Linked DNA regions of Oryzias latipes. Each later gene encodes a partner of the first gene's protein in a complex. Links are inferred from orthologs where the notes say so. Each region holds a gene or a part of one and is shown in the gene's direction. Other genes may lie near its edges. The genes, in order: bop1 and pes1.

Region 1 (16,430 bases):
CATCGTCCACCATGGTTGATGTTTACATTCTCGTTCCCGCCTACTTCAACGCAGAATGATGACGTTTGTAGCGTGTCGATGACGTACGATTCGGATTCAGGTGGCCTGGCGGTCGCAATTGAAAAGATCGGAATCAGGACGGCATACCCATGTGGCCTGGGTTCGCATTTGAAAAGATCGGATCTGTGTCGTTCAGACTCTCATGAAAAGATCGGAATTGGCTCGCATAGGGGCAAAAAAATCAGAATTGGGTCGTTTCAGCCTGCAGTGTGAACGTAGCCTTAGCAATGGGGGGGGGGGGGGGGGGTCGCTTCACGCCAACAAGCCCCCCATCTCGTCCACCCAACCCGGAGGCGAATTTTTAATGAATTCCTGCCGCTCGGCAGAAACTATGTCCAACAAAATCAACACAGGTTTTGAGATTTTGGCAAAAAAACAAAATAAAATAACGACAAGCTCTTAATTAAAAGAGCACTGGGAACACTAAAAATAAAACAAAAGCTCAACAAGTAGCTCAAAATATTATCAGAGTGGGTCTATGATTCTTTTTTCAATTTGTGGCTACAACTGGAAAAAAATTGCACTATTTTGTTTTCAAGGAGGCTACAATTTTTGTGGTTTAGAGCAGCGGTCCGCTACCGGTCCGTGGGTCCTTTGGTACCGGGCCGCACAGAAAGAATAAATAACTTACATCACTTCCGTTTTATTTATTTCGGAATCTGAAAGATGTTTTACTTTGAAAAATTGCCCGATTCTCTGTTCCATCCGTCAATGTCACTCTTGACGCCGGCCAAGGCGCTCTTCTTGGTCACGTTATAGGTTACCGCTAAAATAGTCGCCCTAATAAGCACACAATATGAGATCATATGTATAACTTTTGAAATATGTATAACTTTTAAAAAGCTAAGTTTGAACTGAAAGTATGTGAAAGATGTAAACACAGAAACCTTTCGTAGTGAAACTAATGTTCAAACTGTCCATTCTTATTACATTTTAGTGGTATTCATTCTCACACCTATGGTTCTGAAACAAAAATAAGAACAAATAAGATAGTTAGTCGAACGCATAAGAATATTCAATGTTTTGCTAGCTTAAAGATGTTCTTTTTAATATTTCCATATTTATCCCAACATACACTTCAAGCTTGTGGGAAACGAGTTGGGAGTGAAAGCTTAAACAGACCTTATGCTGCCTAGAACATCTCACATATATTGGTATTTTATATGTAGTAGTTTTATTCAGTACACGGCAGGATTATCTTTTGAAGTTACTGGGTTTTTTAAACTACGAGAAATTCCATGACACTGTTTATGGGTATACCGATGTGTGAGTTTTAACCATTTTGTCCTAAAATTTGTGCCTTTATAAAAGTCCACTGTTATTTGAAGTTGTATGTCACTTGGAACGGTTTTGCTTTTAATGTTTAATGTTGTAGTTGTAATTGTCTAAATCGTGTGTGGTTAATAACATTTTTTATTACACTTATACAACACATTACAAAGTATGAGGATGTATGTTTGTGTATATTAGCTGTAATTCTTTATCTTAATACACACAAAACGAGACTTTAAGTTGAGTTCCAGGTTATGGCTGCGTTCTTTGAATCAACTGTGGACGACTACGTGCGCTCCCTCGGATATGCTAGGCTAAGGCTAAGCTAAGGTGATTACCAGGCTCCAGCAGATGAGATGGTCGGTCTCGGGGTCCTCCACCAGAGTCCAGAGTTTTGTTAAGAACGCCGGGACGTTTCCTCCACTCACCACCACCCCTCCTCCAACTCCTCCAGTATATTCCATGCTAACGACGGTAGTAAAAACCCCAATTGGACTTTTTCTTTAGCTAACCTGAGCTAACGATGCTAACAACAGCTAGCCTACCGTAGATCCCATTTTCAAGGACCACACACACAACAAATAAACTGCCAAAATAGCTCCCACTGTGGTGTAATTAGATCGTCTAAACCCCTTGTTCTGAATCAGAACCCAGCAAGTTCCAGTTTTTTCAATAATATCTTCTTAAAGTCCTCTAAACAAACTCCGTAGTGGAAAATTCCGACAAATCCGATAAAGCAAACAACTGCGCAGCTTTCTAGTTGTCGCAGGATGATTGCGTCACGACAGCGCAATACATAATGCAATACTTCGCAAAACATTTGAAGTTTTGTCCATCCATGTGGATTCCTTTAAGATAATTGTTTTGCATGTTCCTTCTTAGTTTAAATAAAATGTATTGTAACGACCCAGGGTTTAGACAGAGCTGCAGGTGGCTGGCGCCCCCCTCTTTCTGTCAGTTGCTAGACCACTGTGTGTGTGTCAATCAGTGGTGGGCGGGTGACTGATGGAGAGAGGGGGCGGGGTCTACCTGTGGAAGAGTGTGTGTGCGCGTCATCGCAGAAGTTAGTAGTAGCTGGCTGTGCCTGTTTAGTCACGCTGTGACCGTTATCAGATACAGAAATCTCAATAAAGAGCTGTTGAACAACCGGCCGCCTAAGGAGCTTCCTTGCCGTCACTACAGTATTATTATTGTTAAAAAAAATACTTCGCAAAACATTTTTGTATAAATAACAAAGTTAAAGAAATACACCAAAAAAAAATCTACATAACATTTACCCCACAAATATGGTTATGTCCAAATTCTCAAATATAGAAAATAATGGTGGTTTTTGTATTTATTTCCCTGAATCAGTTCTTCACCTTTTCTACTTTTGTAAATTTTCCCGTTAATTTTGGAACCAATTAGAATGCTTTGTAAACATCAAATTTAACTGTAACATTATTTTAAATTTGAAACAAATCTTCACATATTTTAATTCGGATGATAAAAAGGTTGAAAAAAGTATCAATTTTTTACTTCTCCAATCCAAATTTTACATGCATAAGTGCAGAAATAAATAAAAAAAACTCCCGATTTTACTATATTTAAGATCGAGATATTTCAGTTTTATGAATGTATTAAAAAAGATAACACACCCAAAGTAAGTAACACTGGAACAATTTGTGCTTTTTTGTTTGATAGGTAATCCCCTCCTCTAAGAAAACTTTGTATTGTAAACAATATTATTATTATTTTGTAATCCCCTTTTATATATTTTAAGATACTTTATTTTCCTATCAGCAATTTCTATTTTTGATACATTTCTGATAAGATTTTTACTTGAGGTGATTTAATGAGCTTCGAATGATGGCATTGATTACCACTGCTGATGATCTGTCTGATTCCTTGATGTTGGATTTTGTATGTTAATGCTATGTTCAATAAAGCTGGGGAAAAAATACTTCGCAAAAAAACAACACTAATGAATCACTTATAATATTCCAGTTACCCCCAAAAGAATTTGCAATAGTCATGGATGCTATTCCTGAAGGAATTATAATGTTATTTAAAGGTCTTGTGCACCCATTACCCTCACGTTCAGTCTCTTTATTTGAAACCAATATTTGCAAGATCTGCTTTACTATGAGAAATTCAACAAGAAATAAACAAATAAGATCCCTACAGTCGTACCCTACGTGACCCACTATTGGAGAAAATTTGCCCCAGATGAATGGAAGAAAGTTTGGACTTTGTCCTCCAAATATTTTATTTCAAATAAACCCTGAGATGTTTGCTTCAAACGTCTTCGCAGATGCTACACAGCCAAATCCTCACTACACATAGACATTGATAGAAACTGCTCCTTTTGTAAATTAGACACTGAAACAATCACGCATCTATTCTGGAAATGCCCCCAAAGAGAAACTTTCTGGAAAGACTTTTCCTCTTTGTTCAGTGTAAAATTTCTAAAAAATAATTTGATCTGATATACAAAGATATATTATTTGGTTTTTAAAATGTTAAAAATTTATTATTAAAGGAATACTACTCAATTAACCTTTTAATAATACTAGCCAAATTTCATATTCTTAAATGCAAATTTTCTGGGAAAAAAAGGCCTTATTCAAACTTTTTATTATTGAATTAAACAAATAAACCAGAACAACAAAATCTTATTCTAACCCCAAAGCTATAAGAACCTTTGACACCCTGGAATTTTTTAAATGTACAGAATAGCAACTTACTGCTTTCAATTCTCTTCTTTATAATCATTTTTCTTTTCTTTTTTCCTTTGTTCTTTATGTTCCCTTGGCACATTTTGTTACTCATTTTTCTATCAGTGTACTTTAAAGCTGACTCGATTTTGTGATCCTGTATATCTTCAATAACGATTTTTGAGGGGAAAAAATATATTTCGCAAAACAAGTGATGCAAAGGCCAGTAATACAGATCAGCGTGCTATTTTATATAAATTCATTGTGTTGGAATATCTAACCTAAACAATAAAGTTTGTTTTTCCTAATCAAACAATTTATTTGGTGGTTATGATTTAAAACTTTGAGTTTTTTAAAGTATAAACAAAAAAAGTTAATAAATAATTACTGAGGCTAAATTTAATTGCTGCCATACTATGGATGGATGGATGGATGGATGGATGGATGGATGGATGGATGGATGGATGGATGGATGGATGGATGGATGGATGGATGGATGGATGGATGGAAACTGTGTTTTCTCACTCCTAGGCAGTTGCAACCATTGAGTTATATCACTAGAGGAGACATCACGTGGTTCCTCATGGGAGGAGAGCACCGCCATCTTGGTGAGGTCAAGTCACTGCTGCAGTGCATGCATGTGAACACATTTTTTGCATAATGCCAGTTCATTGTGCGGATTTCAACTGCCAAAATCAGATAAATGAGTCCATGAAGGAGGTAGGTGTATCATTTCACAGGTAAGTATTTTATTTTTTTTTATTTTAAGGCTGCAGGGGCTTCATTAATAGAACGTATGTTGACATGCATGATGCTGCAGGGCTGTTATCAACATGCTGCATGATGTACATTTATTTTGCTGTCAATATAAATGTAGATTTTATTTTGCTAAACCTGTATACAGCATACTAGGCTATTATAGTAATATAGATTTAAACATTTCTGACTCAGTGACTGAACTTTTCTTGCAGGATTCCAATGGATTCAGACTGAAGGAAAAAGTGGGACTTAGCTATAAAAAGAGTTAACCCAGATGGATCACTGTGGTACCAACTAGTAATACAGTCTGACTGTTCAAAACATTTGTGGAAACAGATTTTGATAAGAGGCCAGACTGTTTTTTTAGGGTAAATCTATTGTCCTATTGTCTATATTATTTTGAATATTATTATTATTATTATTATTATTATTATTATTATTATTATTATTATTATTATTATTATTATTATTATTATTATTAATAATAATAATAATAGTAATAATAATAATAATATAATTATTTTTATTATTCTTTATTGACTTGTTATTTATTTATTGTTATTTATTGTTTGTATTGACTTACTATTGATTTTTTTATTTGTAAGAAGTCCTGCAACAATGCATTTTCATTCAAGTTTGAGCTTTTAAGGCTGACTGTTTCTCTTCTTTAACATCAACAAATGATGTATCTATATATATATATATATATATATATATATATATATATATATATATATATATATATATATATATTATATACATAAAATATAATATATTTATATATATATGTATAAATATATTTAAATCTAAAAATATATACAGTTTATAAAAGCTACTTAGACACCACTAAAATCAATAGAAATCAATGTCATGTGGGCGTCGTCGACCTCACCAAGATGGCGTCGCGCTCCGCCACCGACGGCCAGGCTTCTAAAGCGGGCGTGTCTCCTCTAGTGATATAACTCATTGGTTGCAACGAACAATATTATTGTTCAGCCGGACGTGCAGTGAAGACATCTGACCGATAGGGGGCGGAGGCTGCCTTCGTGTCTTCTCGTTTTTCTCGGCCAGCATAACCTCTGACCCCGCGGGTTTTCCACGTGGGTCCGCGAAGCAGGAGCTGGAAAACGTGCAGAGCATGGAACAGAGATCAGAAATGAAGAAAGTCAGGGAGAAAACGAAGAGGAAGACGAAGGAAGTGGAGGAAGAAGAGCAAGATGAAGTGAGAAACGCAATCTAACTGTTAGAGGGAAAAAGCGGGAAATTACTCTGTGAATTAGCTAGGACTTGCTTGTTAGCGGCTAGCATGCTAATAAATAAGCAAAATCAAAACAGGCTGGAGCTTTTAAAAACGTTGACATTGCTGATAACAAATTTTCCCAACCGAACTGTTAAGCGGTGAAAATATCATATAGTTTGTTTATAAACAGACTTATAGGAATACAATATAAAAACCGCATGATTTATTTTTAAATGTATGTTTTCTGAATAGAGTTCAGTGAGAGCATCATAGAATTTGGAATTTCTTTACATACAATGAATCAGGATGCTAATATTAGCCAAACATCTATGGGGAATTGAACCATAAACAGTGATTGTGTGTGTTTGTCTTCAGCTTTTTGATATCAACAACAAAGCTACTGAGAAAGATGAAGACGACGATGACCTGTCAGACAGTGAGGACAGTCAATTTTCTGGACTGGAGGATTCCGGGAGCGACTCTGAGGATGAAGAGTCAGACGTTGAAGAGAAAAGTTCCGATGATGTGGAGGAAGCTGATGGATCAAATGATGATCCGGATAAACAGAGGCAGCAGGTGAGGTTTGCTGCTGTGGACTTACTGCGACCGGATATTATTATGGTTCTTCTGAAAATCTGTCGCATTTGCAGACAAAAGTGAAGAACAACAAAAACAAGAAAGGAGCAACTGAAGGAAAACAAGAGAAGAAAGGAGATGAGTATGAGCATGACACCTCGGATGAGGAGGTAGGAGTAGCGGCATCTGGGATTCTTTAGTGATCTCCTCGGATTGTCACTTTTATTCGCTTTTTATTTTTCTAGTAATTTCCTGTACGTCCTCAGCTTCTTGCATGTAGATGTTTGATCACCCTTTTTTATTTTATTGGTTATTTTAGAACAAAGTTTGTCTGTTTTTTTCTTGTCACTTGCCCTCTGATCTGGACCTACCTTACTTTACACAGTCTATTATTGTATAATTCTATATGCATGTTTGTGTTTTACCTTATTTGTTTTGCAAACCACCTTTTTTCTTTAAATACCTCTGTCCTGTTTCCTTGCTTGAACTCTTCTGTTGGATTCTAAAAGGTTCTCATGTGCTGGTTCTGATTCTTCTGCAGGACATCAGGAACACAGTGGGCAACATTCCCATGGAATGGTACAAAGACTTCCCTCACATTGGCTACGATCTAGATGGAAAGAAGATTTTCAAGCCAATCAGGAACAAGGATGAGCTGGACGAATTCTTGGATAAAATGGAAAATCCTGACTACTGGTCAGCTAGCCAGCGCATTTCCGCGTCCTCTACAGTTTCAAACAGGAAACGCTAACGGTTTTGGTTGTGCGTGCAGGAGGACAGTTCACGACAAGCAGACGGGAAGAGACATTGTGCTGTCAGACGAGCAGGTGGATCTGGTCAACCGACTGCAGAGAGGGCAGTTTGGAGACATCAACTTCAATGAGTACCAGGTATGCTCAGGGAGGCTTTGCATCCTTATTTTTGGCTTTTTTTGTGGTATTTTCAGAGGAATCTGTATTTATGAGCCTAAGTACAAATGCTCCTACCTGAAACCTATCTTTTTTTTTCAGGAAACAAGAAAAATGTGTTTCAAATATTCCAGCCGATGGTGATGTGAGGTTTTTGTCTTGTGACTTTCGGGTCATAAGACTTTTTTGCAGATTCACTTAAAATGTGAATTTGTCCTTGTTCTCAGCATTTAATGCTAAAAACTCAAAATCTAACAATTTGCAGATAGGAGATATTGTATTTTGGTCATCGATGTGCAATCTGGAAAAATTTACAAAGCAGACAGACTAACAGTTAAGCTTAGTTTCCAGAGATTCATATGAAATTTCTGACATCTTTTTGACAAACGTCTGTTTTTAGTCGCAAGCTGCACACATTTTGAAATTAAACGAAATTCCAGAGTGCCTCTGATTAAAAACAGTGGGAGAAAATACTATATTGGGGTGGAAAAAGTGACTGCAGGGAACACGGTAGCGACAAAGTGGCGTCAAAAGAGTGAACGAAAAAAACGAAACTATCTAAGATATGTCACAACATAACAAATTAAAAAGACAAAAAATATGCAAAAAACTACAAAGTAAACAAGCAATAACTCAAATTTGACCACATGTCCCACAGCCTTTGAAGAACCAGAGGGAAGATAGTGTCTAAAATGACCTATCAGCTGAAGTTTTAGGTTATTGTGACATAAAGCTGGTTAACCATTGTACCTGTTCCATATGTACTGACGGAGAAATACGTTTTGTCTTCTGTTCAGACAAGATTGACATCATCTATTTTAACCGTTTATATATTTATGTACGTGAAAATATATATGTATATACTATTATATATATTCATACCTCTGTATGCATATATAAACAGTAATCATTATCATAGAGGCAACATTTAGTCTTTACTAAAAGAAAAAAATGTTTTTTTTCTTCCAAATGTCAAATCAAGAGCAGCTTAAAGTGAACGAAAAATCCAAATTATAAATTCGGAAATAGTTTTAAACTCCTCAACGTATGCTGTAAACGTGAAATAAATATTGAACATTTGAAAAACGGTGAGCTTGAAAAATATATAGTTTATATTTAAAGAAATACTCTAAACTTAACTTTAAGAAAAACTTAACCTGAAACTGTTATCAAATGAAAAGTAATGACACACTTGCTGGTTTTTTTTTGTGGGTTTTTTCCGGTTCTCAATTTATAGTTTCAACTTAGAATTTTCTGAGTTATCCCAATTTTACGTGGGGGTGGAGTTCTGAGCCCATTGGGTACCAGGAAATGATTGACATTGAGAGACAGAGGTTATGGTGATGTCATATCTGCTCCAGGACAGTCTGTTGTTGGTGCTTCCTCATCCCTCCTTTTTCCATTCAGTTTAAGCTGATCCCGAGTGGAAACCACATATATGAGCTTTGAAGTAGCAGCTGTTGAGTTTGACTCCTTGTCTTCTTCAGCCAACAGTGGAGTTCTTCAGTAGCGACGTCATGATTCATCCAGTCACCAACAGACCTGCAGACAAACGGAGCTTCATACCATCCCTGATTGAAAAGGAGAAGGTAACAAAGTGAGAAGAATGCTGCAGATTTGCTTTTATCGCCTAACCATTGATCTATTTTGCCGTCTAAAGGTTTCTAAACTGGTTCATGCCATAAAAATGGGCTGGATCAAACCAAGACGAGTGCAGGACGACAGCAAAGAGCGCTACTATGACCTGTGGGCCAATGAGGATTCGTCCATTCTGGCGAAGCACAGGATGCACCTGCCGGCCCCCAAATTGCGCCTCCCTGGTCACGAGGAGTCTTACAACCCCCCACCCGAGTACCTGTTCACTGAAGAAGAGGTGAGGGCCAAATCAAAGTCCCACTTAAGGCATATTGTTTCTCAGTAAATGAGTCTTTGAGCCTCCGTTCCACAGAAAGCGCTGTGGGAGCAACAAGATCCCGAAGACAGAAAGCTGCCATTTATTCCCAAGAAGTTCTCCAGCCTCCGTCAGGTTCCAGCATATTCCCGGTTCATCCATGAGAAGTTTGAGCGCTGCCTGGATCTTTATCTGTGTCCCCGACAGAGGAAGATGAGGGTAACTAACTAATTAACTAACCCGCCTGCTTAACAGATGGAAGCTCTTCTCTCATACGAAACTGTCTGCAGGTCAACGTGAATCCAGAAGATCTGATTCCCAAACTCCCTAAACCCAAGGACTTGCAGCCTTTTCCAACAACACAGTCTCTGGTGAGTCACGCACCGCTAACACTCTGATCTGTTCTGTACGGTGGCCCTGAAGGACAAATCACATCAACAAATCCCTCAGTGCCAAGACACATTCAAGATTAAAAAGAATAATAAAAAGCTTTAAAAAGATGAACAAAATTCGCCCAAAAAATGAAACGTCTCAGAAAACAGAAGTAATTCCCAGTAATCAAAATGAAAGAAAATAAGAAGCTGGGAAAGGTATTATGGGATGTCACTGATTGGATGATGACGTTTGTACACCGCTTAAACTGGAAGTTAGAAAAATTGATCCCATGATGGAGAAACAAGTGATAATATAGAGCACTAAAATTCCATAAAAATCAACCAGAGAACAACAAAACACAAAAACAAATAGGCTACCATGGAGCCGAGGTACCTGGCAGCCTGCCGTGTCGCTCTCCACAGTTCAGGCAAAAACATCCCTCTGCTTTCCTCCTTCTTCAAAACTCAAACCTCATCATCCAATCAGCCAAATCCCATAATACCTAGCTTTTCTGGTTTCTTATTTTGTTTCATTTTTTTTTTAAACATTTCAAATTGATTTCTGGAAATTACTTTTGTTTTCCCAAATGTGGTTTCCCAAAAATCACTTTTGGGGAAAGTAAATGATAATATTTTACCTTTGGCAAACTAAAGAAGGTTTTTTTCAATGACGTAGGAGTCATTTTGGCATTTTCATTTTCCTACCTGGAAGTAAGACGACTTGATCTCTGAGGCTCCCCCTTTCGCTCCTTGTGGGCGCCGCCCATTTCATGACGTCAACCTAGATTCGGCCTCGGCAGCGTGTCTGCGTCTCGCCCACGAAAACAAACATTTAAAATTTTGCAAAGATGGATGTGAATATAAAAGGAAAGTGTTTACCCGACACAGAGAAAGTGGGTGTTAGCCTGGGGCGGGGCTGGCAGCTCAGACTCTTCCTGGAAGGGGCTGTTCCTCACTTTGTGATGTCACAATGTGAGGACCAACTCGTTTTCATGGTTTAGGAGGGGGTGATGCTCTTTAATATGTCTTTTTGATGGAGTAATTTGTTGATGTGTTTTGCACTTCCGTAGTTCTGATTCTTGGCTGAATTTATCCGTGACACGATGTGAGCTACATGACCTACTGCTTTTACCCGTGTTCAGGTGTATCGAGGTCACAGCAGTCTGGTTCGCTCCGTCAGCGTGTCTCCATCCGGACAGTGGCTTGCATCAGGTGATGTCTGCCAGCATTTTTTTTTTTTTTTTTTACTTTTATCTTTATTCTAGTCATGATAATAACAGCAACATCTCTAAAATTGCTCCTTTCAGGATTCTAAACTTTTTACCCAATCACAGATGGGTTTGAGAACTCTAAACATATTTAAAAAGATCATTTTCTTCATGGTATATTTATCACATAAGGTCTTCTGGATATAATAAAACTCAGAAAATGGTGCTTATAAGCCAAAAAGAAAGATCTAAATGCAACACTTTTCAAAAGGGACCAAACTTCTGAACAAGGGATAAGTACTTGTTTTAGTCGCAGGCTTGATAGAATTTTGCAGGATTCTGGTCTAAAATTTTTTACTGAAAGCTGTTATTAAAGTGTTTATTTAATGTGTGCACAGGTAGTGATGACGGTTCTGTCAGATTCTGGGAGGTCTGTTCCTCTCGCTGCATGAAGATTGTCCAAGTGGGCGGAGCCGTAAAGAGCGTGGCATGGAATCCAAACCCGGCCTTGTGTCTGCTGGCTGTTGCTGTGTAAGGATCTTCATGTTTCTTCCTTTGATTTTTTTTGTTTTATGTTCTCTTCTCAACATTTTTTGTTTGTTTGTGTTTTGCTTCCAGGGACTCGACGGTCCTGATCTTGTCTCCGTCTCTGGGGGACAAACTGGTCATCTCTTCATCGGAGCGGCTGCTTGCTGGTTCCCAGGAGGAGAACCCGTCAGAAGGTCCCCAACCTGTGGTCTGGTCTGAGACAGAGGGGGAGGAGCTAAAGGAAGGGATCCATCTTAAAATCCAGCATCCCAAAGTGAGAAATTCCACATTAGTGACGGGAATTATCGCGTGATCAAACCGGTGAACTGACTGGTTGGTTTTCGTTTCCCAGGCCGTCCATCAGGTGACGTGGCACGCTAAAGGAGACTACCTGGCCTCTGTGATGCCAGACCATTCCAGTCACCTGCAGGTGTTTATTCACCAGCTGAGCCGGAGGCGGAGCCAGAACCCTTTCAGGAAAAACAAAGGTCTTGTTCAGTGCGTCGCCTTCCACCCGATTAGGCCCTTCTTCTTCGTGGCAACGCAACGCTACGTCAGGATCTACAACTTAGTCAAACAGGAAATGGCCAAAAAACTTCAGGCCAACTCCAAGTGGATCTCTAACATCGCAGTCCACCCTGGAGGTAGGTAGAGTCTAAAATCCTCCCATAAAAACAGCAGAATGGAGCCTTTATGTCACCTGTCTGTCTTTGCACAGGTGATCATGTGATCTGTGGGAGTTACGACTGTAAGCTGAGCTGGTTTGACCTAGACCTCTCAACAAAACCATACAAGGTTCTACGGTACGTCCACATTTGGGGATTTCGTCCCATTCAAGACTGATGACAAAGATGCAATAATCACTTCCTGTCTGCAGACACCATAAGAAGGCAGTGAGGAGCGTGGCCTTTCACAAAGGTTACCCGTTGTTCGCCTCAGCCTCTGACGATGGGACGGTGATCGTCTGTCACGGGACCGTTTACAAGTAAGTCTTTAATACAAGCCTGTGAAATGATTGACAGGAGTGTCAATACTTAAATGCAGGTATTCCTATATGTTAAATGGTCAGGAATTTATAAAATCGCAGCATGTCGGAAACTGTCTCCACACCTTTGTGGAAGAATTATCAATCTAAAGCCCCACAAACTTCACGTTAGCTTAAGATCAGTGCAAAGAAAGCGTCGTGATATGTATGGAAGCAGTCATGTAGCATAATTAAAAAGAAACGTCAAATCCAGAAATGCTTTTTCATTTTCTACATCAACATCGCGTATTCTGTCACTTAATTAAAATGATGAAGAAAATGGTATTTAACATTTCATTCTGAATAAGTTTTCTGGTAAATGTGTAGCAAAATTCCTTTAGAAATGTCTAATTTGACAATTAAAATGGATTAACAGAAATGCTTTTTCATTTTCAAAATGTAACTGCATCAATTGACCCAAAATTAAAATGAAAAAGCAATATTTCAAAATGCTTTTTCATTTCTACTTAAAAACCGCTTATTCTGTGTCATAATTAAAATGAAAATGCAAAGAGGGGATTGCATTTTCATTTTAACCCCTGCGAATAGCGTCACAGAATTAACTTAGACTAAGCATTTCCAGAGGGGAGGCGGGGCGATGACGTCAGTGCTTTCTCCGTGTGTCCGGTTGCTAAGAGACACATGCTAGGAGCAGTGGAGCTTTGTGTTAGCGGCAGAGGAGAGGGCTTTGTGATGGTTGTGCTCTCCTGGTGATTGTACACAGCTTCTCAGGACTACGTAGCAGCATTTCTGCCTTAGACAGAATAAGCAGTGTTGAAGAAGAAAATGAAAAAGCATTTTGGCAGATTGCCTTTTCATTTTAATCTTGAGTCAAAAAATGCAGCTTCATTTTGAAAATGAAAAAGCATTTCTGGTTTTGACTTTTCTTTTTAACTATGCTACACAAATGCTTCCATAGATATGGGTTTTTTTAGGCCGTACAGCTGCATTTATGACACAAAAGGCCGTTAAAGGTTTTATGGCAGCAGGACCAACATCTTTCTATTGGTTGCTAATGTATTGTCATTAAAGTGTAAATAGAGATGAGCGTTTACTTTTACTAATACAGTGTACATAATGCTTTTCAATGACGTTCTGATGCATGCAGGTTTAATAGAACTCTTCTTTCCTCTTTCAGCGATTTGCTTCAGAACCCGCTCATCGTTCCTGTGAAAGTCCTAAGAGGTCATGTGATCACGCATGACCTTGGGGTTCTGGATGTAACGTTTCATCCCACACAACCCTGGATTTTCTCCTCGGGAGCTGATGCGACAGTCCGGCTTTTCACCTAGAAAACCTCTCCAATTGTGTCGGATCTACAATAAAGACGGGATTGCTTTTTTTTAGCAGGAAATTCAAAATATTTGTCCATTTTCATAGCTGGAATATTATAGTCTGTTGTTTCTCCACTACAGAAAATGTGTAATTTCTAGCATCATCAATGTGTTTGTTTAATAAATAGTAATATTCTTACTTAGCGGTTTCTGTTTTGATTGATAATTCATTACACTTCAAACAGCAGTTTAATCTGATCAAGTAGTAGTGGTTCATTTCAAGAAATCTAACAGTGTTTGCAGTAATGAGATTACTTGAGAAGTACTCCCCATATTCTTCCAATAATACTGGTAAATTATTACTCATTTTTAATCAAACTATTTGTTATTTAGATGACTTTATTAATACCACAATGGGAAAATTTCATTTATCTGTGGCAGCAAAAACAACATCCAGAAATAATCTATATAATATAACGTCAAAAAAGGACATCAGAAATGACATTCATATTAAATAAATATTTAACATTAAATAAATACAGCTGCAAAAGTGTAAAAAACGTGGTCTGCAAAACATGTAAACTGTAAAAAACATGTAAAAACTTTTTTTCATTTTTTTTTTCAAATACAGACATAAGTAATGAAGTTCACACCAAAAACAAACAACTGGATGGATGATCAACATAAACAACAAAAATAACAAATAAACATACTTTGTCATTGTGGAATGGCATTATGAAAGTTTGGTCAGTGCATCATTCATTCATAAAAATGCATTTACTCAATTACAATTATTGACAGCTAGTAAAAGGTGCATCAGTCGTTTTGAAACAAGTATTTACAATTATAGTGGTAAAATTGCAAAACAAGGGCAATTATAATAAATACACTTAAAAAATACATCTTATAAACATAATACAGTGAGTTTTTAAAAAGACTTAGTGCAGTTTCAGCAGCTGCAATAACATTTTTTATTAATGTTTAAAATATTTATTACAGTAAGATTAGAGCTGTTCTTGAGATGATTTTTATTTGTGCCTGTTATCTTTCAGTATTGTATATTGTACAAAAATCTAACATTTATATAAAGAAATATGCATTTTTCCTGACTTGTGCAGAACAGTTTATAAAAAATTTGTATTTAATTACTCCTTTGCGGATATAAGAAGGTTTTTAAAGCACGTTGGTGAAATCATTGATGGATGATCATTACTGCACTGGAAACTCCTATTCAGACATAATTTTAGCCCACACAACACTCCCATATGGATCTGTCTGTATATTTTATGTAGGAACAAATTAATATTTTACAAAAAGTCTCGTAAAAATTTGATGACTCAGTGCTTCCCTCTCAACAACTTAGCACTTCAATTACAAGACATGACAATGCCTTACCGTTTCAGATGTCCAGAAACGGTTTTAAGTATCACAACACTTCACAAGAGACATGCAAAGTCTGTACCAAGAAAATTTCCTTGCCTTACTGGAGAAGGTTAAGAAAGACCTGAAGAACTGGGAAGTTCTCAACCAGTCTCTTGCAGGGAAAGTAAATAGTATAATAATGAATATACTTCCCAGATTCCTTTACCTGTTTCAGTGCGTCCCCTCTACATCCCTAAATCTTTTTTTAAATCTGTCGACAAAAGCTTTTCTTCATTCATCTGGAGCGGTAAGACCCCAAGACTCTGTTTAAAATTATCACAAAGACCTAAGCATCAAGGTGGCTTAGGCCTACCAAACCTGTGCCAATACTACTGGGCCTCTAATGTTCAAAAAACGATAGATTGGCTCCAAGCTTATGACATCAACTGGTATCGATTTGAAGCCTCCTCCTATAATACAAAAACTCTGACAGCCCTAATTGGATCTAGTCTCCCCTGTGTCATTTCACACTATATTACACACAATCCAGTAGTTACCAATACCTTTAAAATTATGTTTCAATTCAGACAGACGTATGGACTCACTCAAGTGCTTACCACTAGTCCTATACACAAAAATCACCTTTTTCTCCCTGGTCAGACAGACTTCGTATTCATGATTTGGGAAGTGATTAAGGTACAGTATAATCAACTTTAAGGACATGTACCTAAGCGGTATATTTGCAAGCTTCAATGATCTTGCTTCCAAATTTTGTCTGCCTCACTCTCACTTTTTTTAGTACCTTCCAGTGTGTCGCTTCCTTCAGCAGCATGACCCTAACTTCCCTAACATACTGTGTTAGATGAGGTGTTTGAGTTGCCACTCAATTCAAAAAGATTCATTTCCAAAATCAAAGACTGCAAAATTCCTGCTTCCATCTTTGTTGTTTGATTGTCGACTGGTTAATTCAAAACTTCCAAACTTATGTAATACGTTCTTTGTTTGTTGGAGAACTGTTTCCAACATTCTACAAAACTCATTCTATGTCCCAGCATTACACAAAAAAGTTTTTTAAAAACCCAATTTTTCCAAAATACAAAGAAACCCATTTTAAACAATGAATGCAGTATACCCATGCAAGGAACTGCTACATTTACGTTTTGGTTTTCAAGAAAATAACTGTTAATAAATATAAAATCACTTGATCATCTGTTTTTTGAATGTACATATGTTACCAGTTTTTGGGAGTATTGTGTTT
Region 2 (16,520 bases), on another chromosome or scaffold:
TGTTGCCAGCGAGCTGACGCAGAACATCTTCACCATCACTCAGAAAATCCAGAAAAAGGTGGCCGGGACCAGAAATGTGACCCAGACCTCAGAGATGTTCCCAGTACTGCCCGGTTCACACCTGCCTCTCAACAACCCCGCACTGGAGTTCGTCAAATATGTGTGCCAAGTATGCTGCTGTTTTCCAGTGTTATCCTTCCACATGGACGGCTGCTGCATCCTTTACTGACCTTCCTCTCCATCACTCTTCTGCTCAGGTTCTTTCCCTCGATACTAATATTGTGAATCAGGTGAACAAGCTGAAAAGAGACCTTCTGCGCCTCGTTGATGTGGGTGAGTTTTCAGACGAAGCCCAGTTCCGGGATCCCTGCAACTCCTACATTCTTCCAGAAGTCATCTGCCACCACTGCAACTTTTGTCGGGACCTGGACCTTTGCAAAGATCCATCTGTGGCACAGGTAAACATCTTCTGGTAAGGTTATAATTGCACCGTGAGGCTGAAGTTTGATGGAGATGTTTGTTTTTCGTCAGGATGGTGCTGTCGTGCCGCAGTGGTTCTGCTCAAACTGCCAGGCTCAGTATGAAACGGATTCTGTTGAGGTGTCTCTGATAGAAGCTCTTCAGAAGAAGCTCATGAGCTATACGCTGCAGGACCTGGTGAGAACAATGATTTTTAGAAAATATTGTTTTCTTCTTTAAGCACTTTCACGTCTGCGCTGTAGCATCATCTTCTGTCTTCAGTTTTAATTTGAAATTCTTTTACATGGAATTAGAAACACAGACAGCTTCACAATTGGATTTTATTTTTTTAAGAATTCCCAGCACCTCCGACTTCCTGTCTTGTTCACTAATGTTGGTCCCTTTTGCTTTAAAGCATTGTCCTCTGAATAAAAAATAAAAAAAATTCTGTTTTAAGGTGTGCAACAAATGCAAAGGGGTGAAGGAGGCCAACATGCCGCTCTACTGCAGATGTGCTGGAGACTTCAGCCTCACATTCTCAGCTAAGGTTTCTGCTCTCAGATTTTTTCCATCCTTCTATTTTACTGTTTAAAGCATCAAACATTGAACATTTCTTCTTTCCTTTTAAAGAGCTTCTCTGAGCAGATCATGGTGTTTCGGAACATCGCATCCCACTATAACATGAGGTTCCTGGAGGAGACCATTGACTGGCTGCTTGCGATGAGCCCTCAGATTGAACAGAGATGCAACTAAAACGCACTTCAGGAGCTGAGATGTTGTCATGCGACAAGCTGGAGGACATGTGTTTAAAGTTTTATCTTTTCTATTTGCAATTTTATCATGTTAATGAATAATAAATACATCTGTTGAAACTCAGTTGGTGTGTTTTTTATGAGTTGATTGTATCTATCGGTACTCCGGAAGCTTTCTCCATCTGTAAGCGCATTATCTTACTTTCCCTTTCAGCCAGGAGCTCATATGTCTTTTATCCGTGCGTGACCTCAGAGAGGAGAGCTGCAGCTTTTGTTTATTCTGCCGAGAGAACAAATACGAGCCTCTTCTCACAACCTTGGTTGCCTCGTTGAATATTTAATAAACGTCTTTATGTTTCATGGGTTTCTAATGAACAAAATTGTCAACTTCGTTCAGATTTTTTTTTGCCTGCTTTCAAGTACCTTTAATTGCATGTCATTAGTGAGCTCAGGCACAATTATGCATCCTCAGAGAATCTCACTGACACCTGCTGCTCTTGCAGGATGACGCATGAGGGAATACAAGCAGTTCATGGCTTAGGAGTAATATTTTAAATTTACTGTTGAGCTCAGCCTCTGCTTAATTTAAACTCTACAAGTCACTTTAGGTGACCTTGGTGTACCTTTTTCTCTTTTTTTTTCTGTTTTAAGTTTCTTCATGCGTCATTTACAATCCTCTGTGCATCATGGAAGATATTGATTCACAAGCCTTGAGTCTCGAGTTTTAGGATGGACACTTGCAAAGCTCTCAGACACAGATGGAATCACACTCTCACTCCACAACCTTGTTAGAGAAGCATTTTTTATGGGAAGTGTCTGCCTTATTTGATTATTTTTCATCACTCTCCTCACAATCCCTTGCATCCTCTCGTTTTGCAACACGCACTTGTGTTAAGTCTTTTTTGTCCTTTAGAATGAAACTCAGAAGAAAATAACGCGTCTGACTGATGTTGAATGCAAAATTACAACCCAAACATCAACAATTAAGTGATTTATTATTGGACTGAACATTTGGGACACATGCTCTTGGTTTGTTAGATTTAACAACCAATTTTAGCTTCTCTGTCATGAAGCCAAGAATATATATTTAAATCCAGTGAAAATTAACACATAATCTGTGCAGTGTAAGTATTCTTATTTGTAGGCAGCACATAGAGAAAAGGACACGTTTAACAACTCGTTTTCCCCCCCAAACACGACACAGTTCTGTGACCCTGCAGACCCTTCAGGAACCTCTTTGAGCTGCTATGGTCAGTCTTCCACTGAGGATAGAGGCAACCTAAGATGCATCAAAGTGGTACGCCGTCTGACAGATCAGAGTGGTTGGAGCCAAAGCTGCCGATGTAGCTGAGCTCTGTGTGGACAAGATCTGTGGGGATGAGATCTGCAGGCTCCTGGATCACCTGCAGAAGATGGTTAAGATTCAGTTGAAGGCAGATTATACATGAAAATGTGGAGGAATGAAGAATTAAGATTAATATACATATATTGCTTGGAATCTCCAACCAAAGGCAGAAGCTATTTCTCTTACTTCATCAAATTTTCTATCGCTGTACACTTCATTCTTGTCGATAAATGTCAACATGATCCAGTCACAGATGATTGTACACTGCAAGTGAGAAACAGGAAGAAATTAGGAACAAATGCAAACCATTTCAATATTTCAGTAAATCTTTTTAGTCAGACTCACAATCCCAACTGAGGTCATGGCCGTAACTGAACTGATGATGGTCGGAATGGGACTAAACTTTCCAGCCTGCATGGATGCAATAATTAATCATCTCATCACGCTGGAAATGAATTAAGCTGAGAAATAGGAGTCCTCTTACTTGTCCATGAACTATTATATCAAGACGGATGCCATAAGCCTTGATGAGTGTCCGAGACTCCACTCCATTTTTGCTGTAATATTTGGCAAACCTGGGAAATCACATGGAAAAAAAATTATATATATTGTTGTTATATATATATATATATATATATATATATATATATATATATATATATATATATATATATATATATATATATATATATATATATATATATATATATAGCCGATTTTTATACGTAAACACAGATGTCAGTGATGGGTGTTGATACCAACCTGTAGTAGTACCCTGAATTGTCCTCGTCTTTTCTAACATCGAGACGGCGGAATGAATATGTGGGTTTACAATATGAAGGATTCAGATCTAAGTTACAGTCCCAGTTGATGAAAACTCCAATTACTCCTCCCTGAGAAAAAAGATTATGTAAATACATTTTTTTCATAAGAAATAATAATATAAAAACAATAAATAATGATAATCAACAATTAAATGTCTTTCTGTTTTACGCTTAAAATAATTCATTTAGGTGCAAAACCAAATTCACATATAGAAATGCATTTTATGACAGTAAAAATAATAATAGAGGGGTCTTATTGAGGTAAAAGATAACACCTTATGAAGTCAAGTATATTTAACAAAAGCTGTTGCAAGCACAGGTTGATATGATACTTGAAACTTTTTTTGTTGCAAAACCAGTTTGGGTCCAACATCTGACATGGTTGCTGTGCTGCTTCATACTCACAGTCCTGCAGAGCTCACTGAAACTCTCCCTTGCTTGACTTGCAATGTATCCCAGGCGGAAGTTTGGACAGTAGGGATCTGTCTCCTCATTATATTGGCACTTATTTAGGTATTTCCTTTTGCGGCGCTTGCCTAAAGAATCCTCTATATTTCCCCTACAAATGAGATGACCTCAGTTATTCTTCATGAAGCTTAATGGAAGAAACTGGTGTGATGTGTGTACAGTTTTGAGAGGGACCCACCTCAACACTTTAAATTTGGGGAAGTGGATGTAGTTCCTGATGAACACCGTAAAATTAATGGCTTCCACTAATGCTGGTTCTCTGTTGAAGGGAATAAATTATGCTTTATTCAGAGGACGGAAACCTGCACTATTTCAAACACAGAGTGGAAGGCAGCTATGCCCGCTCCGTCTGTGTGTACATGCTTCCCCTTTCTTCTCCAGTTTCCTCTCACAGTCGAAATCTCAGACATTTGACTCTTTTCTTATGCATGTTTACTAGATAAATCAGGGGCTCACATCTAGAACCACATTTTCTGGCATCTTTAAATCAATTCTTTTTATACATTCGACAATTATATGCATTAAATTATTCTATAAGTGTAAATGTGACTTATCACTCTTATTGCTCTGTACCTGTTGGACTTTGAAGTAGAAGTGTAACAATTCATTTGAACAATAATTTGATTCATATCAAAATTTTTGGTTGCTGATACGATTCATAGTCGATTTTGGTTCATTTTGAACGATCTGATTCACTGACTGAAAATGGATCCAGGACATCTTTATCCAAAAATTCAACCAGTGTGACTCAGAGATAAATACCTGAGTACTGAAAAGTGCAAGTGAAGTTTTCCAGATTCCATTTATTTCTTGCAAGATAATCAAGTGTAAATTAAATATGTGTACAAATAAGTAAACAAGAAGTAATGACAAATCCATTCAACTTTTAGTTTCATGTTGTTTTTTTCCATTTCAACAATCCAAAGGGAACATTATTAGAACATTCCACCACACTGTATGGTCACACAATTCAAAGTGTTTCCACACATTGGACTGGAATGACAGCATGACCCCCGCCGCAGCAGCAGCGGCAGCCGGAACCCCCCAACGCCACACGGCAGCAGGCAGGGGACAACCGCCCCCCGGGCGATCAAATCCGCCACCCGGGCCAGGACCAGCACTTGGTCGTTTTTAAGTTATAAGAGTAAAGTAAAGTAAAACAAACCAATCATTACATTTTGAAAGGATTTTACAATGATGCAGGTCTATTCGATTTGATTTACAACTGGATCGCAGGAATAAAAACTGATTCATCGATTAACAGATGAATCAAGTAATCGTTACACCCCTGAAGGCTTTTGGCCTTTTTCAACACCCCGTAGCCCCAGTGCATTCGACGGAAATGCTTGTGTAGACTGACAGAAGAAACTGTTCGGATGTCAAACCTCCTGATTGTTTTAGTTCCAAGCTGTGTAAGTGAGAAAACTAAAACGGCGCTAAATCAGGATTAAATAAGTAAAACAGATTTACAGATTTACTTTGAAGCCAGTGCATTTTTTCCCCTAATTTATTTATTTATTTATTTTGTTTTTGTTCAACTTTTTCGTGTCCTTACGATTCCAAAAAATGAACCTGATCTTAGTGTGTTTAAGGTATTGGTTTCAGATTGTGAATGACATGTCTTACCGTACAACAGCGTACTCTTCAATGGGACACCAGCTTTGGATCTCACAGGTTTTAAAGGTGTGGTTGTAATACTGAATACATTTCCCGGTTCTTCTGCCTGCAAAAAGAATAAAACGTTCAACTTAAATTAAGAGCGGAGGCTGTGGTGCACTTAAAACAAAACACGTGTAAAGAAATTCATGACGATACCATGGCCATTAAAGTCAACCTCCCCAGGGACGCAATCTGCGTCCTTTGAACAGTTGGCATTTTCAACTTTGTAATACTGTGCAGAAAAAAATGCATCTGGATTTTAGGATCATCTTTGTCAGCACTTCTATTGTTATTGTTTATGAAACCTCAGCTTACTCACCTCCGCACAGGTGCCTTGCTTCTGGTCATATGTGATATCTCTTCTGAGTAATGTACTAATCACATCACCTCCCTATGAAAAAAAGTGAAATGAATACCCAGAGCAGAATCCTCCATCACTAAGTAGTTGTGATTTTGATAGAGTGTAAGTGATATGGGGGAAGACGTTTTCCCAGCTTACTTCTGATGGACTGGCGTACTCCACACTGTCCAGGATGTCATCTCCATGAACTGCTGTGCCTTTCATGAGTGTATAAATAGAGCTATCTGGATGGGTTTCGCTGTCTTGGTATGCCTTCTGACTTATAAAAACATACCTTTGTGGATGATCGGACAAACAAACACAAAAGTCACATCTTCTCCACTGATGGGAAAATGTAATTGGAGGCATCATGTTACATTTGATCTACTCAGCCCACATGCAGTAGCCAAGAAAAGAAAATGACGCACTCAGACTCCGCTCTAGTTATCTTCCTATTTTGTTGAAATAAAAAGCTATTTTGCACTTGATGACTTATACATAAAAGATTAATTTTTCTAGTTTAATCCAACACAAATCACAACAGTCAGTTTACATATATAAAAAAAACAGCATTGTGTACAAATTTCTTTTTTTTTAAGCAAATATACAAACATGCTGCTCACTTACCAGATAAAATAGGTAATCACAAGAAACTGGACCGCCCTGTAAATGACTCCAAGAGTTCTGTTTTTCACGACCATCACTTTGGGGGTTTCGTAGTCCCAAAAACCACTGAAGCACTCCTTTAAAAAGTCATATAGCCCCATGATGACTTTATGAAATGCTGTACTCATATCCAAATCAGTGCTTGAGTCTTTTTATCAACAGAACTTTATCTTGTTACAACATTTCTTCTTCTCCCTGTCTGAGGCTGCTCTGCTCTTGTCTGCATTTTGCTGAAGCATCCCTGACATATGTGAGGGGTCCAATAGACAAGGGGTGGGGCTTAGATTTACAGTACAGACCAAATGTTTGGACACACTTTCTCATTCAAAGAGTTTTCTTTATTTTCATGACTATGAAAATTGTAGATTCACACTGAAGGCATCAAAACTGTGAATTAACATATGTGGAATTATATACATAACAAGAAAGTGTAAAACAACTGAAAATATGTCATATTCTAGGTTCTTCATAGTAGCCACCTTTTGATTTGATAACTACTTTGCACACTCTTGGTATTCTCTTGATGAGCGTCAAAAGGTAGTTTACCTGAAATGTTTTTCACTTCACAGGTGTGCCCTGTCAGGTTTAAAAAGTGTGATTTCTTGCCTTATAAATGGGGTTGGGACCATCAGTTGTGTTGTGCAGAAGTCAGGTGGATACACAGCTGTTCGTCCCACTGAATAGACTGAATTTGTTTTAGTGCTAGAAAAAAGCAGCTAAGTACAGAAAAATGAGTGGCCATCATTACTTTAAGAAATGAAGGTCAGTCAGTCCGAAAAATTGGGAAAACTTTGAAAGTGTCCCCAAGTGCAGTCAGAAAAACCATCAAGTGCTACAAAGAAACTGGCTTACATGTGGAGCGCCCCAGGAAAGGAAGACCATGAGTCACCTCTGCTGTAGAGGATGAGTTCATCCGAGTCACCAGCCTCAGAAATGGCAGGTTAACAGCAGCTCAGATTAGAGAGCAGGTCAATGGCACACAGAGTTCTAGCAGCAGACACATCTCTACAACAACTGTTAAGAGGAGACTTTGTGAATCAGGTCTTCATGGTAGAATATCTGCTAGGAAACCACTGCTAAAGAAAGGCAACAAGCAGAAGAAACTTGTTTAGGCTTAAGAACACAAGGAACGGACATTAGACCAGTGGAAATGTGTGCTTTGGTCTGATGAGTCCAAATTTGAGATTTTTGGTTCTACATGCCTGCTCCCACTGTAAAGCATGGAGGAGGAGGTGTGATGGTGTGGGATGCTTTGCTTGTGACAATGTTGGGGATCAAGAAAGAAAAAGGGCCAACATGTCTGTCTGTCTGTCTGTCTGTCTGTCTGTCTGTCTGTCTGTCTGTCTGTATCTATATCTATATCTATATATATATATAGATATAGATATATATAACAACCTGTAGGATAATATTGTTTTATGCAGCAGTCCACCATTTAACTAAACAGTGCATTCAAACATTGTTATTAATGTTATTTTTTTGTTATTGCTTTTTTTAGTAGCTCGCTCATCTACCGCAGCTTAATAAGACTATTGCGAGCAGGCAGATGAGCGGTCGACTGTGGGTCCTCGTGTCCGCTAAACCCAATCTGATTCTCTTGCGCATGTCAAACAACACGTGCATTTACAGCAAAACATGGTGGTCGTGTTCAGATTTTAACTACCTGACAACATATTTAGTTAAAAACGGTTTGTTTGGCTTTATTTCAGATAAACTAATTTCTTAAGTATGGGCGGCACTCAAAAGAAAAAGGTAAATGCTGGCGTTTTGTTTGAACTCAGTAACAGTTTCCATGCTACGTACGTAGCTAGCTAAACTAGCTTAAGTTTGTTCTAAGTGGTTCATTATGTTGGGCAAACGTTTACACGTGAATGTGAACAGTCAAAATTACATTTAATGCAGTTTACGGAAATTGTTACTGGAAATTTTTAAAACCGTTTTCTTTGCAGTTTGAGAGGGGCTCTGCCACCAACTACATTACACGAAATAGAGCTCGGAAGAAGCTACAGTTGAGCCTACCAGACTTCAGGTACCACACAGCTCAAGTTTTTTTCTTTTTCTTTTTTTTGTAAATAATACCTTTTTTTTTTTTTTTTTTTTTACCACTGATTTGGATGTTTTTTTTAACACGAGGTATTTGTTAAATTATTTTTGAACTGCAACTGAACTGGAGTGTGTGATTTTATGGTTTAATTTTCAGAGATTGTTATTAATGTACCAGCCCCTTTGTGTCTGCACATAACTTTGTGGTTAAGCATAGTTATAATAAAGGTTAACCTATTTGGAGCAGTTTCTTAAAGTATACACTACAGTGTAAAAAAAAAAGAACATGAAAACGTTGCAAATCATAAATGTTGGCAAACATTTATTTACTGTCCTTAAACATTTAACAGTTTGACATTCAGTAAATATAAATACTTGACATTACTTGCTACATTATTCAAACATGTAGTTGTAGAGTTGGATAAGTTAATTCTACCTTAACAGTCCTGGTACATCACCTGTCTGTCCTGGGAGAGGATCCCTTCTTCATCATGTGGACACAGCGGAGACTGTTTCCCCCGGAATCTGTTATTTATTTATCTATTTTTAATAACGTTTTGCTTACCGAGAAGTAGGGTCTAAGGGCAGGGGTGCCCAGTTTAGCTTAGTCTGTTTAGTTAAGTTTAGCAATGACCTACTGTATTTAATGACTGATTTAATGTTAGCCCAATAAGACAACTATTATTGTATTATTGGGCTATACAAAAAACATGCGACCAACAACAACCTTTAGCCTTTAATGCAATTAAAATATGTGCGGGCAGTGCAGCAATGTGCGTCTCGTATTGTGTGTGGCCAACATGATTTTCCATCAGATTTAGTCAGACTGCGATACACACTCATGTCATTTTTTTGTATCTCTGATGACTTGCTTTACTTTTTGTTTTAGACGACTCTGCATTCTTAAAGGCATCTATCCTCATGAGCCGAAGCACAAGAAGAAGGTCAACAAGGGCTCCACTGCCCCCAGGACCTTTTATCTGCTTAAAGATATTCGTTTTCTGCTGCATGAGCCCATAGTTGCCAAGTTCAGAGAATACAAGGTATTTCAAAATGTGTAAATGTTTTTTATTATTTTTTTATTACTTACATGCATAGAGAGAGCACAGTGTCGATTCCCTTTCTCTTCAAAGTGTGAATTAAAGAGCTTGTTGATACAAAAATACATTGCAGAAAATTTGTTAAAATAGAAATGATCACCAAAAAGTGACTAAGTTTGAAATGCATAACTTGTAGTTGATCTTTAATATGTAAAAAACTTTTTGTTTTTGCATTTTTTGCATTACCTGCAATGAAAAGTGAGGATTTAAGAGATCCATTCCTTCTCTGCAGTATAGACTTAAGTGTGCATACTTAATGTGCATGCTCACACATGGATTTGGATTTAAGGACTGGAAAATGTAAACAATATAAGGTTTTAATATATTATCAAACAACTTTATTTATTTTGGTAATAATCTTTTTGGATACTATACAGTCGAAGTGTAAGTTAGCCTAAAAATTTGTTCTTTGTTTTAATAGATATTTGTACGGAAACTGAGAAAGGCTTATGGAAAAACGGAGTGGTCTGCAGTTGAAAGACTGAAAGAAAACAAGCCAACCTATAAATTGGACCACATCATTAAAGAGAGGTGAGACTGACTTAAAAAGTGGGGCATAAGTAGATTTTTCTGTTAAATGAACCCATTGTTCTGTGTTTTTCTAGTTTTTAAATGTAAGACAGATAAACCTACCTCTAAGTCAATTGCTTTCTGTTGTAGATACCCCTCCTTCATCGATGCCCTCCGTGATATCGACGACGCCCTTTGCATGTGCTTCCTCTTCTCCACATTTGCCAGAACGGGAAAATGTCACGTCCAAACAATCCAGCTCTGCAGACGCCTCACTGTGGAGTGGATGAACTATGTGATTGCATCACGCTCTCTCAGAAAGGTGCAGCTTTACTGAACTCTTTCACAGAAAAAAATTACAGTTCTGTGTTTTCTGACATACAACCCACTCTGTTCCCGTTAGGTTTTCGTCTCCATCAAGGGAATGTACTATCAGGCTGAGGTGATGGGACAGCTCATCACATGGCTGGTGCCCTATCAGTTCTCCCATGATGTAAGTCAAATTGATGAAATGAGGTTCATAAGGAATATACCAATAAGCAGTGACAGCAAAATCAACAATGTTCTAACTAAACACAGAAAGTCCCCAGTTAATTAGTAAAGCTGTTTACATAGTTTCCAAAGTCTGACATCATCTTTTTATATTTACTTTTAAATACCATCTAAGTCATTTAGGAACCAAAACATTTTAATTAAAGGTGATTAATTTCCAGTTGAGGTGCAGACGCCGAGACTCCTTTATGTTGACTTGCTTCAGTGCCTTTTCATTGTTTTCCAAATACTGATGTCCTCAGAAGAAATAATTCTTCTTTACAAATAGACAATTTAACAGCTAAAAGAGGGAGGAAAGCTACATAAACGTTCATGTGATTTTTGATCATTTTTATAAAGTGTAATTTTAAACTATTTTTTTGAATTATTACTCAAATTATATGTTGAAATGTTTCACTTTGACACAGTTATTTGGTGAGTAGACCTTTTATTTTTCTAAAATAATATTTTTGCTGTTTTAGCACCCAACAGATGTTGACTACAGAGTCATGGCAACTTTCACAGAGTTGTACACAACCCTGCTGGGGTTTGTGAACTTCAGGCTCTACCATTCCCTCAACCTGGTCTACCCTCCAAAGGTATTTTGAACTGGAGACGATTTTAAGACATACGTATGAGCTCCACTTTGAACCTACTCTGTTTTCACACAGCTGGACATTAAAGCAGAGTCGGAGCTCAAGGGAGAGAATGAAGATGAATATGCTATGGACTCAGAGAGCTACCCCGAGGTTAGTTTTTATTTATTTGTTTCCCACAGTGAACAGCCTAAAATGCCTGTTTTTATTTACGGCCTTTTGTTTTAGTATTTATTTTCTCTTTGACTTTTATTGTGGCCCTAAAATCACATTAACACATTTAGCAAAAAAACTTGTGAAAGATCACAATGACAATTAAAAAAGACAAAACTATTAAAAAACATAAATGAATAAGATTACATTTTAGTAATTGAAGCAATATTCCAGAAGCCAAAACCAAAACACAATACCAGAAAAAGGAAACAAAATAAAAATGAAACGTTTCAGAAATTAAAATTAATGTCCAGAAACAAAAGGAGAAACCAGGAAAGGTCGGTATTGTGGGTCCTAACTGATTGAATGATGACGTTTGATCACCTTTTCAACGAAAAGTTATTTGGCATTGTAGACAGAAGATATTTGATTAAACTTCTGGCCTCAGTTACTGCAAAGGGTTGACTGCTCATTCTACTCTCAACCACAGTTTGGGCAACACATTCTTCTGCTTTCCCTCTTCTTCAAAACTCAAACATCTTCATCCAGTCAGTGATACCCACCTTTCTTGGTCTCTTATTATTTAATGTTTAAACATTTCATTTTAATTCTGGCAATTCCTTTTGTTTTCCAAAAATGTTTTTTTTTTATGGTTTGGTTTCTAAAATGTAAAATATATATATATATAGATATATAGATATTTTTTTATCATTATCATCTTTTTGTTGTTGTTTTGATCTTAAATATGTTTTTGCATTGAATGATTTTTACTTCAGGTCCACCATAGACTTTTCCTTTATTTACATAAAAGCAGGATCAAACAGGATTTAGGCATCATGGTGCTAAAATGGATGGTATTTTATTAAACTAAAACTTTAGTCTGAGTTTTTTTCCCTCTTTTTCTAATACTGTATAAACATAAATAAAAATGAAGTAGATGACAGGGGGAAAACGTGATGTTTTATCTGTGCAGAAACTTGCAGCTCTCAGTGCCAGCCTGGCCCGGGTTGTTTCTACAGCAGAGGAAGAAGATGCTCAGCTCGATGCGTTTCCTACGGAGGAGGCAAGACATGTTTGGAATTTTTACATTTGTTTTTATTATACTTGATACAAATGTTTATTTTGTGGAAAAACTCCAAAACAACACCAAATAAATTCATAGGACATTCATTACTCTCTCAGGACAATTGGGCTAAAAAATTAGAATGTAACCAGGGATTTACAGCTTTATGTTTGTTTGCCATTGGTGCTTTGGTTCTCACCTGAGAAGCTTGTTTTGCTTTGCCAGTTTAAAATGGTCATCTAGGAATCGCGTAACACCATAGGGACTTCATATGGCTCTTTAAAAAAACAAACAAACATTTTTTGAGAGCCATAAAAGTCATTAGTGCAGTTTAAAGAGCCAAGTCTAAACTAACGTTTGGTCTTTTCAAAGACACTCATCTGCCTCTGAACACCACACTGATGATGGTACAATGCAAAGTTCTGTCAAATGTGACAAAAAGAGGATTAATTACCTAAACATTTTACTTTTGAATTTTTTTTTTTAATACTAGTTTGTGTCATGAACATGCATAATGAATATTTATGAATTTCACTCTTTTAAAGCAATGTTTATTTCTTAAAATAAAATAAAGAATTGTCATTTATAATTAATATAGAAAAATGACTTATTTTAGGGTTAAGGGTCAGCATTTTCGGTGCATAATGGAAAGCCTTAAGTTTAGCCTGCATCATCAAGAAGTGAATTAGGATACATGCAATTAATCTTTATCGCTCCATTTATAAAGGCAAAATTAAAACTCATCAGTATTTGAAACTTTTTTTTATTGTTATTTTTCTTCTCCAGGAGGATTTGGAGAAAGTCGAAGCTCGAGAAAAGGAGCAAATGCAGCTGGAAACCCAAAAAAAGATTTTTGAGGGACTCAAGTTTTTCCTGAACAGGGAAGTTCCCAGAGAGTCACTGGCTTTTGTCATCAGGTAAACACACTTTTGGGAAATTAAAGCTCCATTCTGATGAAAATTGTGTTTTGGTGTTTTTATGGAGTACATGTATAGAGGAAAATTATGCCCGGAATTGCATTTCTGAGTATTTCTTTATTCAAATTGCTGTGAAACAGGAGCAGACAAAAAAATGCCATTTGATAAACCTTGTAGGTGTTACAATCAGCGGCTCACAAGCTTCCTGTTCCGCTCCATTCTGATGCACCTCAACTGAGCTGATATCTGGCTCAAAACTGTACGTCTGGATATCTCCGATATTGCTCGCCGTTTTTGTTGCACCGGTAATATTAGGTGGGGGGGGGGGGGGGGGCTGTTAGCTAGCAGGAGAACACATAAGCAGAGAGCTCAGTTATGGGTGACGGGAAATGGGGGAAGGTTGCTCTCGGAAAACAGTCAAGAGGTGAATTTCTAATGAACTCCTGCCGCTCCGCAGGAAATATGACCCAGAAAACGGAGCAGGTTTTACTGATTTTAGCTAAAAATGGCATAATCATAATTACAAGACCAGTGGGAAGGAACGCTTAATAATAAATCCAAAGATGATCGGAGTGTGACCTTAATCATAAAGTAATGGTCACAATAAATCCAATAGCTTTGCTTCTGCCTTTCAGGTGTTTTGGTGGAGAGGTGTCCTGGGACAGGTCTGTCTGCATTGGGAGCACGTATGATGCCACAGACGAGACGATCACACATCAAATTGTGGACAGACCTAATGTGGACAAAAGCTACATCAACAGGTGAAGAAAACGATTTTTGATGACATTTCTGATCAGATGCAGTTTAAAAACTAGAAGGAGCTGCATTTCCAGAAGAAAATGCAGGGTTGAATGCTATATTTCTGAATGAAAACTTAAAGGGTCATAATTGGCAAAAATAAATAAAAATTGAAGTGGACCATAAAGGGAAAACAGCACAATAACAGAGTATATTTTTGTGAAAAATGCTAGCGCTGGGTATCGAACCAGCAAGCCCCTGCACCAAGGATTCCCCGTGTATTTCAATGGAGGCAAAAATCCAGGAATATCTTGAAATTTTCAAGGATTTGAAGGACCAATAGTCAAAGCTGGAAAAAGCTGAACATTTTAATAGTTGAATGGTTAAAATAGCTGAAAAATTGTGGGAGTTTAGCGCCAAAAAATGGTGGAGAATACTATAATAAAGAAAGAGAAACAGGAAAACAATGCTTTATAGCATTCAACCAAGTTACGTTCTTTACATACATGTAAAAACTGACTGGAGAAGCCCCACAGGCTGCAATCAAAACCAGCAGCTAACAGAGTCACAGTACTAAAGCAGCTCATTCAAGAAAGGCAGAGAGTCCACCCATCTTTGGTTTTAATCTGACATAATTATTTTTCATTGACAGTTGTTCCAAGATTTCACATGAAGCCAAAACAGAGCAGTGTCTTCATATTAGGAACTTTAGTATCTGCAATATTTGTATATCTTCACAGCAGGTTGACCGTTGAAATGCATAAATGAAAAAAGATGGCCAGCCACTTCTGCTTTTGGTTTATGTATTTTCCAAACCCAAAGCAATTCTTCCAGCACTAACCAACAAAGAAAAAAAAATTAATTTAAGTTCTCCATCCAGCATGTTCAAGTAGCTAAAACTTACCCCCTGCAGCATCATTCAAATGACCAATTCAAAGCCAAGTATTTGATCTATGTCGCTGCAAGAACAGCTGTTGCGGTTTTTACATACAAAATTGTCACAGAAAAAAAGTCCCTGAGTTCCAAACTTGAAATAAAATGTTGAATCCAGGTTGTCTTGGTTGTGTTTTTCCTACATAACTTCACTAACACCTTCATGTTTAGAATATGCCATTCTTAAAATATGTAATGACTAAACAGGTAGAAATGTTTACTAAAAGGCCCTTATCAATCATTTCATGTGTTGCAAACATCATAAAAGTCTTCTTTGATTTCCTTGTTTCAGGTACTACATCCAGCCCCAGTGGGTGTATGATTGTGTTAACGCCAAGGTGCTGTTGCCCGTGGAGGATTATTTTCTTGGGGTGACCCTGCCCCCTCACCTGTCTCCATTTGTGGAGGAGAAAGACGGGGATTATGTGCCCCCAGAAAAACTGAAGATAATGGCTTTACAGCGAGGAGAGAAACCTGGTGCGGATCTACCCGTTAACTGACAACTTGATTATTTTCTGAAAGCATTTCTGTTATCAGTGTCACCGCAAATGTCATGGAAAAGTGATGAACTTTTGTGGTCTTAGAACGCTTGTTCTCACCTTTTTTTTCTAAATACCATTTGGTGTCCTAGCACAAGAACAGGATGATGATGATGATGATGATGATGATGAAGAAGAGGAGAATGATGAGGATGATGATGAAGAGGATGAGGAGCAAAATGAGGATGACGAAGATGAAGCAGAGGAGAAAAATCTTAAGGAGATGGAAAAACAAAAATCCCAGGGAAAGGTGAGTCATTTCTGTTCTTTTGTGGCATTTGTCATGCTTTCTTTTTCTTAAAATATATTTATATTTTATATTTATTATTTTTTTACCTCTCTATACCTTGTTGCTTTTGTTTAAGTCTCTGCAAGTAAAAGTGACACCTGGAAAAATGAAGATGGAAAATCCGGTGCGCTTGGAGCAGGAGGAGAAGGCAGAGGAGAAGCGTCTCGCCATCATGATGATGAAGAAAAAAGAAAAGTACCTTTACGACAAGATCATGTTTGGAAAGAAGCGGAAAATAAGAGAGGTGCATTTCATTTTTTTTTATTTAAACAAGTGTCCAGTTCTCAGAAAAGATAACATTTCTACATATTTCTCTCTGTTTACTCGGGTATCAGTTCTTTTTTTTTTTATCTAAAGATAACCAGCATTGTTCAGCTTCTCTGTAAAGAGCAAACAGTCCCAGCGATGCCCCCCCCCCCCCCCCCCTGAGTTTACATAGCTAGAATGGGCACGGTTGACATTTTTGTTTATTACTTACATCTAATCTCTTCCAACAGGCGAACAAACTCGCAGCGAAGAGAAAAGCCTTTGACGACACCGAGAAAGCAAAGAAGAAAAAGACCAAAAATTGACTCATCCTGTCCATTGTTCTTTT

Evidence for each region.
Region 2: bop1 (region 1) and pes1 share a complex: the UniProt entries of both Homo sapiens proteins name them as parts of the peBoW complex. The link is inferred for Oryzias latipes from reciprocal best matches to the Homo sapiens genes BOP1 and PES1.

Annotation. Positions count from the first base shown.
Region 1 is NC_019869.2:4,815,382-4,831,811, reverse strand, and holds bop1 (ribosome biogenesis protein BOP1), read left to right. Parts: upstream 1-5,837; 5' UTR 5,838-5,925; coding exon 5,926-6,009; intron 6,010-6,402; coding exon 6,403-6,603; intron 6,604-6,677; coding exon 6,678-6,773; intron 6,774-7,144; coding exon 7,145-7,299; intron 7,300-7,375; coding exon 7,376-7,493; intron 7,494-8,998; coding exon 8,999-9,100; intron 9,101-9,171; coding exon 9,172-9,384; intron 9,385-9,459; coding exon 9,460-9,621; intron 9,622-9,692; coding exon 9,693-9,773; intron 9,774-10,918; coding exon 10,919-10,988; intron 10,989-11,382; coding exon 11,383-11,515; intron 11,516-11,602; coding exon 11,603-11,786; intron 11,787-11,864; coding exon 11,865-12,156; intron 12,157-12,230; coding exon 12,231-12,315; intron 12,316-12,389; coding exon 12,390-12,497; intron 12,498-13,674; coding exon 13,675-13,828; 3' UTR 13,829-14,013; downstream 14,014-16,430. Other genes in the region: hsf1 (heat shock factor protein 1), read right to left, coding at 1,671-1,796. UniProt on the Homo sapiens protein: Component of the PeBoW complex, which is required for maturation of 28S and 5.8S ribosomal RNAs and formation of the 60S ribosome.
Region 2 is NC_019867.2:13,296,114-13,312,633, forward strand, and holds the start of pes1 (pescadillo homolog), read left to right. Parts: upstream 1-8,068; 5' UTR 8,069-8,241; coding exon 8,242-8,265; intron 8,266-8,462; coding exon 8,463-8,542; intron 8,543-9,445; coding exon 9,446-9,599; intron 9,600-10,077; coding exon 10,078-10,187; intron 10,188-10,316; coding exon 10,317-10,488; intron 10,489-10,569; coding exon 10,570-10,659; intron 10,660-11,179; coding exon 11,180-11,296; intron 11,297-11,368; coding exon 11,369-11,446; intron 11,447-12,419; coding exon 12,420-12,509; intron 12,510-13,295; coding exon 13,296-13,426; intron 13,427-14,061; coding exon 14,062-14,187; intron 14,188-15,389; coding exon 15,390-15,574; intron 15,575-15,728; coding exon 15,729-15,886; intron 15,887-16,001; coding exon 16,002-16,169; intron 16,170-16,422; coding exon 16,423-16,497; 3' UTR 16,498-16,520. Other genes in the region: pole (DNA polymerase epsilon catalytic subunit A), read left to right, coding at 1-169, 258-458, 532-657, 917-1,006, 1,090-1,212; p2rx2 (P2X purinoceptor 2), read right to left, coding at 2,501-2,614, 2,743-2,820, 2,902-2,967, 3,041-3,131, 3,319-3,449, 3,786-3,939, 4,027-4,107, 5,475-5,571 and 4 more. UniProt on the Homo sapiens protein: Component of the PeBoW complex, which is required for maturation of 28S and 5.8S ribosomal RNAs and formation of the 60S ribosome.